Linked DNA regions of Rattus norvegicus. The protein of the gene in region 3 interacts with the protein of the main gene of each other region in a biochemical or structural test. Links are inferred from orthologs where the notes say so. Each region holds a gene or a part of one and is shown on either strand. Other genes may lie near its edges. The genes, in order: Hoxb1, Pknox1 and Pbx1.

Region 1 (4,362 bases), on a different chromosome or scaffold from region 3:
TCTTTAGTTTCTGGGGGGAACTGGGGCGAGATAGAGGGAAAGGAAGCAGGTAGAGTCCCCTCTGCCATTCCCCCATAATTCCCTTCACAGACATCAAACAGATATGTTTTCCCTTTCTTCCACCCCTTTCCTCAAGATCATCTCAGAACCATCTGGTTCCCCCATTTTCTATCATGTGTTTCTGAGTTCTCTGAAAAAGACCAGTGGATTACTAGGGATCTGGGGATCCTCTTCTACCTTGGCTGGAACCCGGCAATGCCTTTCCAACTCAGTCAATGGCCAAGTAGAGTTCATAGCTCTTCCTCCACCCCAAGACGGAGAAGCAAACGCAGAAAGAAAAGGGGGAGAGGACAGACTTTATTGCAATGAGGTAGTCACAGATACAAAGAGAACCTGGCTTGCTTGGAGCTTGGGTTTCCAGAAACTCAAGTGGCCTCTCTGCTGTCTCCAAGGTTCAGAGAAATGTCCGAAGCTGCTGGGAATTCTGTCGCCATTCCTGGACCTCCCCAGACAGCCCCAGGAGTAGGGTGGTTTTATGGAAAGGAGAATGGGGCGCGCGGGGGGGGGGGGCGCTTTTCCGGAGGTAATAAATAGGGAGAGGGGAGGGGTATTCGCCCCTTCGTGGTTGAGGCTTGCTGGAGGCAGTCCTTAGGATGATGCTCCGGAAATCTCTGTGGTGCCAAGTTCCAAAACACTTTGGTGATTTAGTGATGCCTGTGGGAAGGGGCGGATCTCCTGAGCCAGCCACTGAGGGCCACATTAGTGCAATAGGAATATGTCTGGAAAGGGCTTGTGGGATTACTTGGGACTAGAGGGGTTTGTTTTTTTTTTTTGTTTTTTTTTTTTTTTTTTTTTTGGCATGTCACAAGGCAGTCGGTGCTATTGTAAGGTCTGCGGTGTGTTGGCTGGATTAAGGATTACAGTTAAGGGTTGGTGGCGATGTGTTTACACACTAACACATCCTCCACTGGAAAATCCCAAGGGCTCTTTCTATCCCGGGCCTAGGAAGAGGAGTTGGGGTAAGAAGCTAAAGAAGAACTCTCCAAGCTCAAAGGCACTGAACTCGAATTGGACGGGAAAGGAGAAGCCAGAAGGTCGGGCTGACTCCTACTCTGATGTGTTGAGGCAATCTCCAGATCAAAGCCAAAAGACCTTCCTTCGACCTCTGATGGTTTGAGTGCTCCCCAGGTCCCAAGACCTGTAGGATCGCCCCAGCCATCAATCATCCCTCCACTTCTAGATCTGAAGGGGAAAAAAATTGATTTCCCCACTTCTGCCCAGTTTCCTAAACTTGTTCCTCGGCCTTGAGGAGGGTCACCAGGGCTGTGAAGGTTGGGAGAGTCTAGGAGAGGACTGGGTCCAGTGTGTGAAGCCGGGTTACTTAGGAAGTTCAATTTAAGAGGTGATGGAACTGGGCGAAGCTTCTGGGGAGGTGCACGCAGACTGGTCGGAGGCCTCTCCAGCCGCTTCCTTGGGGCAACCTGGAGGGCCTGCAGGCACCCTGCCCCCCTCTCGCTCGCGTTTCTTTTGCTTCATGCGCCGGTTCTGGAACCAGATCTTCACCTGCGTTTCATTGAGCTCCAGGGTAGCGGCGATCTCCACCCTCCGGGCGCGGCTCAGGTATTTGTTGAAATGGAATTCTTTCTCCAGCTCCGTCAGCTGGCGTGTGGTGAAGTTTGTACGGAGACCGCCGGGAGTGCCCAGTCCCAGCTCGGACACCTTTGCTAGGGGCGGGGCAGGGAGAAAAGCCACGTCAGTCCTCTCACCTCTTTCTCCCTCCCCTCCACTCCTCCCAGTCCACTCTGGGCCCTCATTCATCATTCTACCCAATGCAGTCCCTATGTGGCATCTCTCTCTCTCTCTCTCTCTCACACACACACACACACCCTCCATCATCTAGGAGATCTAGAACCATCATCTTCCCGCCCATACTCACCTTCAGACCAGAAACATGAAATACTGGCTCCAAAGTGGGCGCGCACACAAGACTACGGAGACCTCCTTAGGAAGGAAGTAGCCTCGAAATCTCTGCTGACCTGAGCCCAGAAAGTACTTACCTACCAATAAAAGCAGCTGAAAGAATGAATGAAGCCCGGGCTCAGGCCCCTCTGTGTATGTATGCCTGAGCCAAGGAGAGGAAGTCACTCCTCTGAGCCCTACCTGTCTTAGGTGGGTTTCTCTTGACCTTCATCCAGTCGAAGGTCCGGGCAGTGAGAGAGCTGGGTTCTGACGAGCAAGATGATTCCTTGTCCTCAGAGAGGAGATCGTAGGCTGATGCAAAGTTTGAGGTCTGCTCAGTTCCGTAAGGGGGTTGCGGTGGAGGATATGGCCCTGAGCCGACTCCACCCGCTCCATAGCTGTCGGGCAAACCCCCTAGCTGGGCTCCGTAGCTCGACGGATGAAAATAGCCTCCATCTCCTTCCGACTGACCCATAGAATAATACTGAGAAGGCCCATAGCTGGGGTTGCAGGCGGCTGGGGCGTACCCCGAGGGAGCGGAGCTGGGAAAGGACACCCCCAGGGATGAAGGCGGCTGCTGGACAGGATACCCCGAGTTTTGTTGGAGCGCTGAGCTGGGCAGCCCTCCACCATAGCGGCTCTCCCCTGCGTAGCTGTCAACCGCCGGAGCTGAGCTGGGGGGAAAAGAGGTTGGGGCGCTGTAGGCGCTGGGTCCCCGATTGCAAAGTGGGTACTCTAAAAAGGAATTCATTCTATTATAGTCCATTAGAGGCCGAAGGAGGGTCGGGCCGTTTGGGGGAGACACCCTCTTGCCCTACAACCTTTCGGCAGTATGTCACAGCGCTGAAGCTTGAGTCCATGGCCCGGGCCTGCTTGTCCCCGCTAGCGATCCCCTAGGAAGGGACTAGGCAGTGGGGGTGGGGGGGCACATGTGATCTCTCCCAGGCCAATGGGCTAAGCGGGCCAGAGTTTGGCAGCTCCAGCGCCCATCCATCACCCCCCAAGCATTAGCATGACAAAGACACTTCAATCACTCTGAGCCCATCCATCTGAGAGCGACATGGAAGCGTCAAAAACATCTTTCTTCAAAGACTTTTTGGAAAGAAGGGACCAGAGGGAGAGGTGGGGGGGGGGGGAGAAGTTGGAAGAATATTCAAGACTTTACTCCCCTCCCAACCCCCAAGGCCTTCAATAGGTTCCTGGATTATTAGATTTGGCCAAATTCAACCCAGCTGCCCCTCACTCTCTTCTCCCCTCAAAGAAGCCTACCCCCACCCCAAGGCTGTAAGGCTAGTGCTTGGAGAGCCAGACTCCCTACTTTGCCCAGAACCCCCATTCCATGTCTCTTTCTCCCAGTTTGTCTTGGGATGATGTGCTAGGACAGCCTGATGAGGTATGTTATCTTGGGACAAAAGGATGACTAGGAAGGGAGAAGGGCTGTAAAAACACCTCAGGGTGTGAGCCAGGGTCTCAAATCCAGAAGAATTCATTACAAATCAAGAGGAGGGAAAAGCAGCATTTCAAGGAACACGAGAGGGAAAAGGGAATGGGGAGGGAAGATGAGGGACGCCCTGTTCTCTCCATCTCTCTGCATAAATGCTCTCCCCTCATTCGCAAGCCACTTCTCTCCCTCAGCCTCCCTTTATATCCCCTCTGTCTCAATTCATCTCTCCGTTCGTCCATCTCGCTCCACATTTATATTCACTCCCTACCTATCCATCAACTCATCTCTCTAGATGTATTTATCCTTTCTCTAGCCATCCATAGCTGTAACTGGCTCACTCACTCAGACTTAAATAACTCCCTGTCTCTCTCCGGAGAGCAGCAATGAGCAGCAGAACCAGGTGATATTTACAGAGGGGTGAGAAGGAAGGGAATTTTAATCCTCTTCTCACAAGTGTTCAAAACTAGTAAAGACTCTGCATTTCTCAGGCTTCCTCCTCCCTAAACCCCTCCGTTATCTTTAGTCTCCCTAAAAGTTTTTTTTTTTAATTCCAGGACTCAAATACATAAATCCAATGCCAGTTAAGTCTTGAAGACGATCTGAATTTTCCATTTCCGAATTTTCTAGTGTTCTAGAATAGGTAAAGGAAGTTTAGTTTGCTCAGAGAATGGGAGAATCGGTGTAGAGCTTCTAAACTAAGGCTTAGAGGTGAAATTTACCTTCTTGCTCTTGGGATCAGGTTAGGGGAGGGGACACAGGAAGAGCCTTGGTCACTCTCTGAAATGCAGCAGGCAGTTTGGAGTTAGAAGAGAAGCTCTTGGGTAGGGCTCATTGATGTCTCCTCCTCCAGACTCTGAGGACAAGAATCCAACACCCACTCTCATTTGTAACTTGTCAGGGTGTCTGCCCGGCCACAGGCCTGGGGCCTGAGCTAGGGCAAGTCCAGGAGGGCAAGAGTT
Region 2 (3,646 bases), on a different chromosome or scaffold from region 3:
GCATACACATGTGTGGAATGTCAAAATAAAATCCATGGGGGCTGGAGAGATGGCTCAGCGGTTAAGAGCACTGACTGCTCTTCCAGAGGTCCTGAGTTCAAATCCCAACAACCACATGGTGGCTACAACCATCTGTAATGGGATCTGATGCCCTCTTCTGGTGTGTCTGAAGACAGCTGCAGTGTACTCATATGCATAAGTAAATAAACAAATCTTTCTTTAAAAAAATGAAATCCACTACTTTCTACAACCGACACCTGCTTACAGAAACACACAGGCTTATATGCTTTGTATGGTTTTCTTATGAATCTTCCTAGGGCACTTTAAAAACTAGCCCCACCCTAAAAAAAGAAAGAAGAAAGAAGAAAGAAGCCATATGGTGACGTGCAGCTTTAATTCCAGCACTTGGAAGGCAGAGGCAGGCACATCTCTATGAGTTTGAGGCCAGCCTGGTGTACAGAGATACAGAGTTCTTTTTTTTAAGATTTATTTATTATGTATAAGTACACTGTAGCTGTCTTCAGACACACCAGAAGAGGGCATCAGATCCCATTACAGATGGTTGTGAGCCACCATGTGGTTGCTGAGAATTGAACTCAGGACCTCTGGAAGAGCAGTCAGTGCTCTTAACCTCTGAGCTAAGATAAGTCCCTCCAGCCCAAGATACAGAGTTCTAAGGCAGCCTGGGCTACACAAAGAACCCATGCCTCAAAAAAACAAAAAGAAAACCAAACCAAAACTTAACTGCTTTTCTTCAGAAAACAAAAACCTAAAACTGCCATCCCGGGCTGCAGGGGCGGCTCAGGAGATAAGGGCACACAGGGCGGTTCCAGGAAGCAGGATTTGGTTCCCAGAACTACATGGCAGCTCCCTCACGGTGGTTCCAGGGAGCCTGACACCTTCCTCTGTCCTCCTCAGAATCCAGACAAGGTAGGTATTCATGTAGGCTACACCCACACATCTAAAAACAAGTGAATCTTTACAAACACAACCCATGTACAGTCACTCAGAGAAACACCCCTGTGCACTAAGTCGGAGTCTCAGCGTGTGTAGCTCTGCCTGCTCTAGGACTTATAGGAAGACCAGGCTAGCCTCAAACTCACCGAGATCTGCCCGCCTCTGTCTCCCTCGTGCTGGCGCTAGGGGTGCCACTACACCCAGCTCCTCGTGTGTACTTCCGAAAGCTCAGGGGTCACTGTGCTGAGCTACAAAGCACTGATGAAAAGGCCCCGGTGATGCAGCCGTGTGCCGTGTTTCTGGACTGAAGAGTCACAGAGTAAAGAAGTCAGCTCCCCTAACCGAGGCACAGGGTCAGTGCATTCTGTCAGTGCCCACGGGGCATTTGTTCTATAGGTCTACACAGCAGCACTGACCGTTTATATGGGAGAGCAAAGCCACCGGAAGAGAGCGAAAACAGTTCCAAGGAAAATGTAGAGGGAGGAGACCATCTCTCCGATGCCCGAGACTCGCCAAGAGCTGTAATAATCACGGCCGGCCTCATGGTACAGAACATCAAACACCCACCCGGCTTTTGACAAACAGGAAGGAAAAGCAGTCCAGCAGGAGAGCTCCTAGCAGCAGGCGTCAAAGCAGATAAACACTGGCAGACAATTAGAACGTTCAAAACTCAGAAATTTAAGGGAAATAAAAGTTTACAAAATGAGCAAAGACGTAAGCCGTCTTTTAGCAAAGACGTCACACAGACGGCAGATCAGCACGTGAAAATACCATTTGCTGTCAGGGATAAACAAACAAAGTTCATGACGAAACAGCACATACCACAGTGGTGCCTCATCCCTGACTAGGCTTCAGGGAGCTCTGAGAAGTTTGCCAGATACTGTATGAGTCTACTTCTGTGAGGAACCCAGCTAGTCAATTCAGAGATGAGAAAGAGAATGGCAGGGCCATGGAGAGCAGGAGGAGTTGTATCTAATGAGAGAGGACTTCCCCTGGGAAGACGGGAGAGTCCTGGAGTTACAGTGGTGGCGATGGTTACACAACAGTGAGGATGCACTTGGTACCCTGACTACATTCCCTGAAATGGCTACAGTGACGACAACAAGGTAAGGGTCTTACGTCATCACGGAAGCCAGCGATTGTGTAGGAGCAGGAGGTCGGGAGTTAACGCCAAGTGACCAATACCACAATGACCAAGAAGCACACTGGGCCCCAAAGTACCTGGGACTGCACTGGGGAGTACGGACTTCCAGGCTCCCCACTCAGCAGGGTCTCGCTGTTCATTTTTGTCTTCAGACAGGCAATGTACCGACTACAGAAGTCTTTACAGAGCTCGTTCACCTTCTCCAGTTCAAGAAGATGAATACGCAGGACCTGGATTGCTTTCACCATCTAGAGGTAGGGAAAATACAGACTTTGAAGTGGGAAACAGTGTGCCATCGTCTGTATGAGAAGCTGCCATCGTCATACACTGCTTACTTATTAGATGGAGACAGCGGCAGTGCTAGCGAGAGGAGAGGAGCAGCGTTGTGTCCTGGCCTCTGCCCTACTCGGGCTGCACCTGGGCCGCACGCAGAGCAGGGTGCCCCTTTCAGCATGGCTGTGCTGCAGCCTCGCCCTACTCCATCTCCACATCTTCATCTGTCCTGTAGGTGGCTCTCAAAGGCCAACCTCCAGCTCTGCCCTTTCTGGATCATGTGTCTGGTGTCAAGTCTGAGAACTCTGCATAGCTCTAGATCCCAACCTCTTGTGTTATTTCTCTCCTGTTTAATATGATGTCATCAAGCACCGAGGAGACTTGCTCCCAAGCAATGGGTCACAAATGCCAACAGTGCCCTGTCATTGGTACTCCTTGCTGGGAGCACAGGCCAGCCCCTCAGCCACAGGCTCATGTATGAAGTCATCTACATTCTTGATGCAGTGAGAGACCGGTCAGAAGCAAAAGCTATGGAGTGTGAACTGGGCTTAGATGGTGCTGCCAGTCAAAACACCGACTGAGCCAGGCCAGGGATGGGCCAGAACCAAAAGCTCTTCTGATTCTTGCTCAAATGACAGGCATTTCAGAGCACACGAGGCAGAGTCTGACACGGCCCACCTCGGAAGCCTCTCAGGTGGTAAAGATCAAGTAAGAAATGTAAAGCATCAGACCTAACACTGACACACTTTATCCACAGACAATAACGCTTCCAAAGACCCACTGAGTCCTGAGTCCCACAGGGAATTCACAAAACCCAGAGAAGGCCTTGCTGTGGGGTATCTGAGTCTGGCAGAGGCTCAGGCTCAAAGGCAGGCAGTGTAGGTGCCTTGAAGAAGGACGCTGTGTCCTCAAAGACCTCTCTCCACTGCGCTGGACAGGAAGAAGGCAGAGCAACTAGTGTCAGTGTTGGGAGGGAGCTGCTTTGCAGATGACGACTCAAGCCTGTTTCTAAGATTAGACCTGTACTCACGGCTCAAGTGGAGCAGACTCCCCCCGCCCCCTGTGGGAGCAGTCGGCCCCAAGGAATCTTCAGACACCCACCTCACGAGGAGGTGAGCCCCACCTCACGAGGAGGCACAATTAGTTAGATTGTTAAAGGGAAAATTAGCTAGAAACCAGGAGACCAGGAAGGTAAACTTCAAGAACAGATTTAAATCACAAAAAGTAGAAACAAAACACCAACTTTACTCACTAAGTTGTCTGTTTCCGGAT
Region 3 (3,646 bases):
TGTGTTGGAAGAAAGCCATGCTGTAGTTTTCCTTCTGGACCAGGCATGCACTGTCACTTCATTCTGAGGGGTGCTATCTGTTGTGAGCCAGGAACATGTGGGTACAGCCAGCAGTGATACTCACATCATTATGTTGAGTTCATTCCTACCTTCCCCACCACAGCCCCTGGAGGAGGGAGAGCTGCCTAGGAGACAGCTAGCTCTGGTCTGTCCTCTTCGTACCCTAAACAGCTCTTGACTCTCACAGTTCTTGCGCATCTACTAGGACCTAGATCTCCTCTCCTCCATCCTTGCCCTTCCCTCCTCTTCTGTTCTCAGAATTCTCTCCATTTTTTTTTTGTTATTGCTTTTGGTTTTTTGTTTGTTTGTTTTCCCAACACTGAAAATGGTCTTCTTGTTCTCTTTCAACAAAAACTTGGCGACTGATGACACAACTGGATTTAGTTGAGTGGTTTGTTTATCAGAAGGCAGGCTGTGTTCAGGAGGCACAGAAGCAACTCTCCTGTGAGCCATTCTGCAAACTCACTTCATCTCCTTCAGTTCAAGTCACCCCCACCCACAAAGTTGTGGTGCTTCCCTAAAACATAGCCTGGTTTTGATCTGAAACTTTGTTCTACCTGAACTCAGGGTTGGGCAAATCCATGAAAACAGCTTCTTACAAACACCACACCCTCACTTTGCACAGGACAGAAAGCTTACCACCCACCATAAATGGAGCTCTGTTTTCAAAAGCAGCATGTCCTATGCCAGGGTCGATTTGTCTTTGTATTTTTCTACACTACTCTCTATTCTTTCAGCCAGTCCAGGGAAAATCTCTCAAGATTTAATTCCATGGACTGGATTTACCTTGCTGAAGCTATTTCGGAAATGACAGCACAGGTTAATTCAATATTACAGTGAAAGTTAACAGAGTAAAAGCCACAAACAAAAATGTAAAGTAAGAGATGCTCTTTTTTTGTTTGTTTGTTTGTTTGTTTGAAACCTGGCTGTTTGAAGATTAAAGTAAAAAAAATCACATTTTGTTATAATTAATGTTTGCAGTCCTACATTGATGGTAGTAAAACGCATATAACGGGAATTTTGTCAGTTTTGTAATGTGCAGGTTAGCGGCATTAACTAAATTCACATGGTTGTGTTTTCGCTATCCATCTTGTTAGGAGGTGGGTAGAGACAAAGCCTCATATGGCCCAGGCTGGCACTCATGAGCAAACACACCTACACTCACACATGCACATGAACACAAATACACAATGATGACCTTGAACTCCTGGCCTTCCTGGGTTCACTAAGTGCTGGGATTATAGCTGTGACCCACAGTGTCTGACTTCCAGAAACTTCTTTCGTCTTCCCCAAGAGAACCCCCACATGTATCATACTAACTCTCCCTTGCCCCTTCTTCTGGTCTCAACCCCACTGTTCTCCTATCCTAGGTATCTCATATAAGTAGTTTCTTTGGAGCAAAGCAGGTATCTCCTTCCACATTCCCATCTTCTCAGTCGATGTCCTTCCTGTCCTCTGATCTCCACATACCATATGACACTTGATCTGGAAGCTGGCTTAACTGAGGGAAACAGTTGGATTCTTATAGTTTGTGTCTGGTAAATGATTTCCGAGTTGCCGCTGCTAATCCTTTCTTTTTCCCTTTGTCTTTCTCCGTAGTTTTGAGTATTCGGGGAGCCCAAGAAGAGGAGCCCACAGACCCCCAGCTCATGCGACTGGACAACATGCTGCTAGCAGAAGGGGTGGCGGGGCCTGAGAAGGGCGGAGGCTCGGCAGCGGCAGCGGCAGCAGCGGCAGCTTCTGGGGGTGCAGGTTCAGACAACTCAGTGGAGCATTCCGATTACAGAGCCAAACTCTCACAGATCAGACAAATCTACCACACAGAGCTGGAGAAGTATGAACAGGTAACCATACCCCTATAGACTGGGCACCATGGTGGTCATTGGCCAAGGAAGGGCAGAACAAACCGCAGCCTCACAGCCTATGAACATGTCTTGGTCAGCCTTTCCCATAGGTCAGGGCTTATCTTAGAACCTTGAGTCCCTTCAAGAGCCTGTTCTCAACTATTGAAAACCTAGGCCTTACATGGGACAAGATACTATAACCATGATGTTGCAAATGATGACTGAAAGAAATATGAGTGGCCAATGTAAGGAGTCTCCTGTGCTGGGAACTCTAGAACATCTGTAAACATAGAACATGCTTGGCTCTCCCTAGAGCACACAGACCATTGTCAGAATTGCAACCCAATTACAGGGATCGCTGGCTTCCTTCGGCCGATGCTTGCTGTTAAGTTGAAGAACATTACTCTTTTGAATGCTCAGAGAATTCCATGGGAAGGGACATTTGGACCTGACCTTTCCATGCTGGGGTCAGCTGAGCCAAACGTGCCTTCTTTTCTATGTGTGATATGTGGTGTGACATACAGTTCTCCACAGAGATAATAAGTCATCTCAAGAGCTATTCTAGAGCCACACCACCTTCAATTCCAGTCCTAGCATTTTTCTGATGGTGTCATATATGTGCATGCCGTACCCCAAAGATAGAAAACTGTAGATTCACAAAGGGTCATAGAAGTCCTTTGGAAAGACTAGGATTGCTTTAAGTCACAAAGTAGCATAAAGAAATGAGGTACCATATAATGCCAGAGCTCTCCCTGGTAGGGAAAGCCCACCTGTCCCCCATAGACTGGGACTTCTATATCAGTGCCATTACTCCAGCCATTGTGAACCGCAGTGCTCTGTCAGGTGTCCTTTAACACCCAGATCTCCTGTTTCTTTAACCGACAAATATATTCATTGTCCCTGTTGGATTTGATGCTGAACTCCAGCTCTATATGAATGTCTTTCCTTGAATTAGATTTTCTTTTACCATTTTTTTGTGGGCCAAAAAGGAAGAGGGGGGCAGAGAACAGTCTACTTATGATTGCCTAGTTAGCCAGCAAATGTGAACGTAATAGAAAATTTAAATTTTAAAACAGAAATGGGCATTTTAAAATTTAAAGTGGAGAAAGGTTCATGAGCGCACCCCTGTCCACCTTTGGAGTGGAAACCCACAAAATCCACTCTCTTACACAGGAGGAGATGCTATGCCTCCTTAAGTTAGTCACAGTGAAAATTCAACCACCAGACAAGGTGCAGTGGGAGCTGAAGGGGAGAAAAAAATAAGTCAGCATGTTTGGAACTATGAGAACACTACCCTATGTGTTCTTGAAAAAGAACACGTGTTCTTGACACATCTTGGCTCCCAGAGACTTTTCTCAGGTCCCAGGAGAGTCTGGGATGAGTTGGTCTACCTGCTAATGGTGCTTTTCTCCACCTGGGTCATCCCGAACCTGGACTCTGCACTAACTCGGTGGGACTTTAGAAGATGCACGTGCAGACTTTTCTTATAAAGATCTCCAGATGGCTTCTCAGTTTATCCCCTCCATACTACTCTTACTTCACCTTCTCCAGGAAGCGTGGCCTCTTCCCATCAACCTGCCTAGACCTGACACCTCAGGTAACTCATGCCAGTTAATCAAGGCATGAAAGAAACGTAGAATAAACGCAGCTTCCTCCAATCGCGCAACTGCGATGCGTGTTAGGCTTGAGGGTTTTGATGGATGGCTTCATTGTTAGCTTGGGATGTATACAGCACAGAACTG

The links.
Region 1: the proteins of Pbx1 (region 3) and Hoxb1 are reported together in a solved structure, tested with the Homo sapiens proteins (2 studies listed by BioGRID and IntAct, with this or other methods). The link is inferred for Rattus norvegicus from reciprocal best matches to the Homo sapiens genes PBX1 and HOXB1.
Region 2: the proteins of Pbx1 (region 3) and Pknox1 form a complex in vitro, tested with the Homo sapiens proteins (2 studies listed by BioGRID). The link is inferred for Rattus norvegicus from reciprocal best matches to the Homo sapiens genes PBX1 and PKNOX1.

What each region holds. Positions count from the first base shown.
Region 1 is NC_086028.1:81,826,382-81,830,743, reverse strand, and holds Hoxb1 (homeo box B1), read right to left. Parts: upstream 2,830-4,362; 5' UTR 2,726-2,829; coding exon 2,161-2,725; intron 1,725-2,160; coding exon 1,396-1,724; 3' UTR 340-1,395; downstream 1-339. UniProt on the Homo sapiens protein: Sequence-specific transcription factor which is part of a developmental regulatory system that provides cells with specific positional identities on the anterior-posterior axis. Acts on the anterior body structures.
Region 2 is NC_086038.1:9,688,079-9,691,724, reverse strand, and holds part of Pknox1 (homeobox protein PKNOX1), read right to left. Parts: coding exon 3,627-3,646; intron 2,350-3,626; coding exon 2,179-2,349; intron 1-2,178. UniProt on the Homo sapiens protein: Activates transcription in the presence of PBX1A and HOXA1.
Region 3 is NC_086031.1:82,901,033-82,904,678, reverse strand, and holds part of Pbx1 (pre-B-cell leukemia transcription factor 1), read left to right. Parts: intron 1-1,659; coding exon 1,660-1,904; intron 1,905-3,646. UniProt on the Homo sapiens protein: Transcription factor which binds the DNA sequence 5'-TGATTGAT-3' as part of a heterodimer with HOX proteins such as HOXA1, HOXA5, HOXB7 and HOXB8. Binds to the DNA sequence 5'-TGATTGAC-3' in complex with a nuclear factor which is not a class I HOX protein.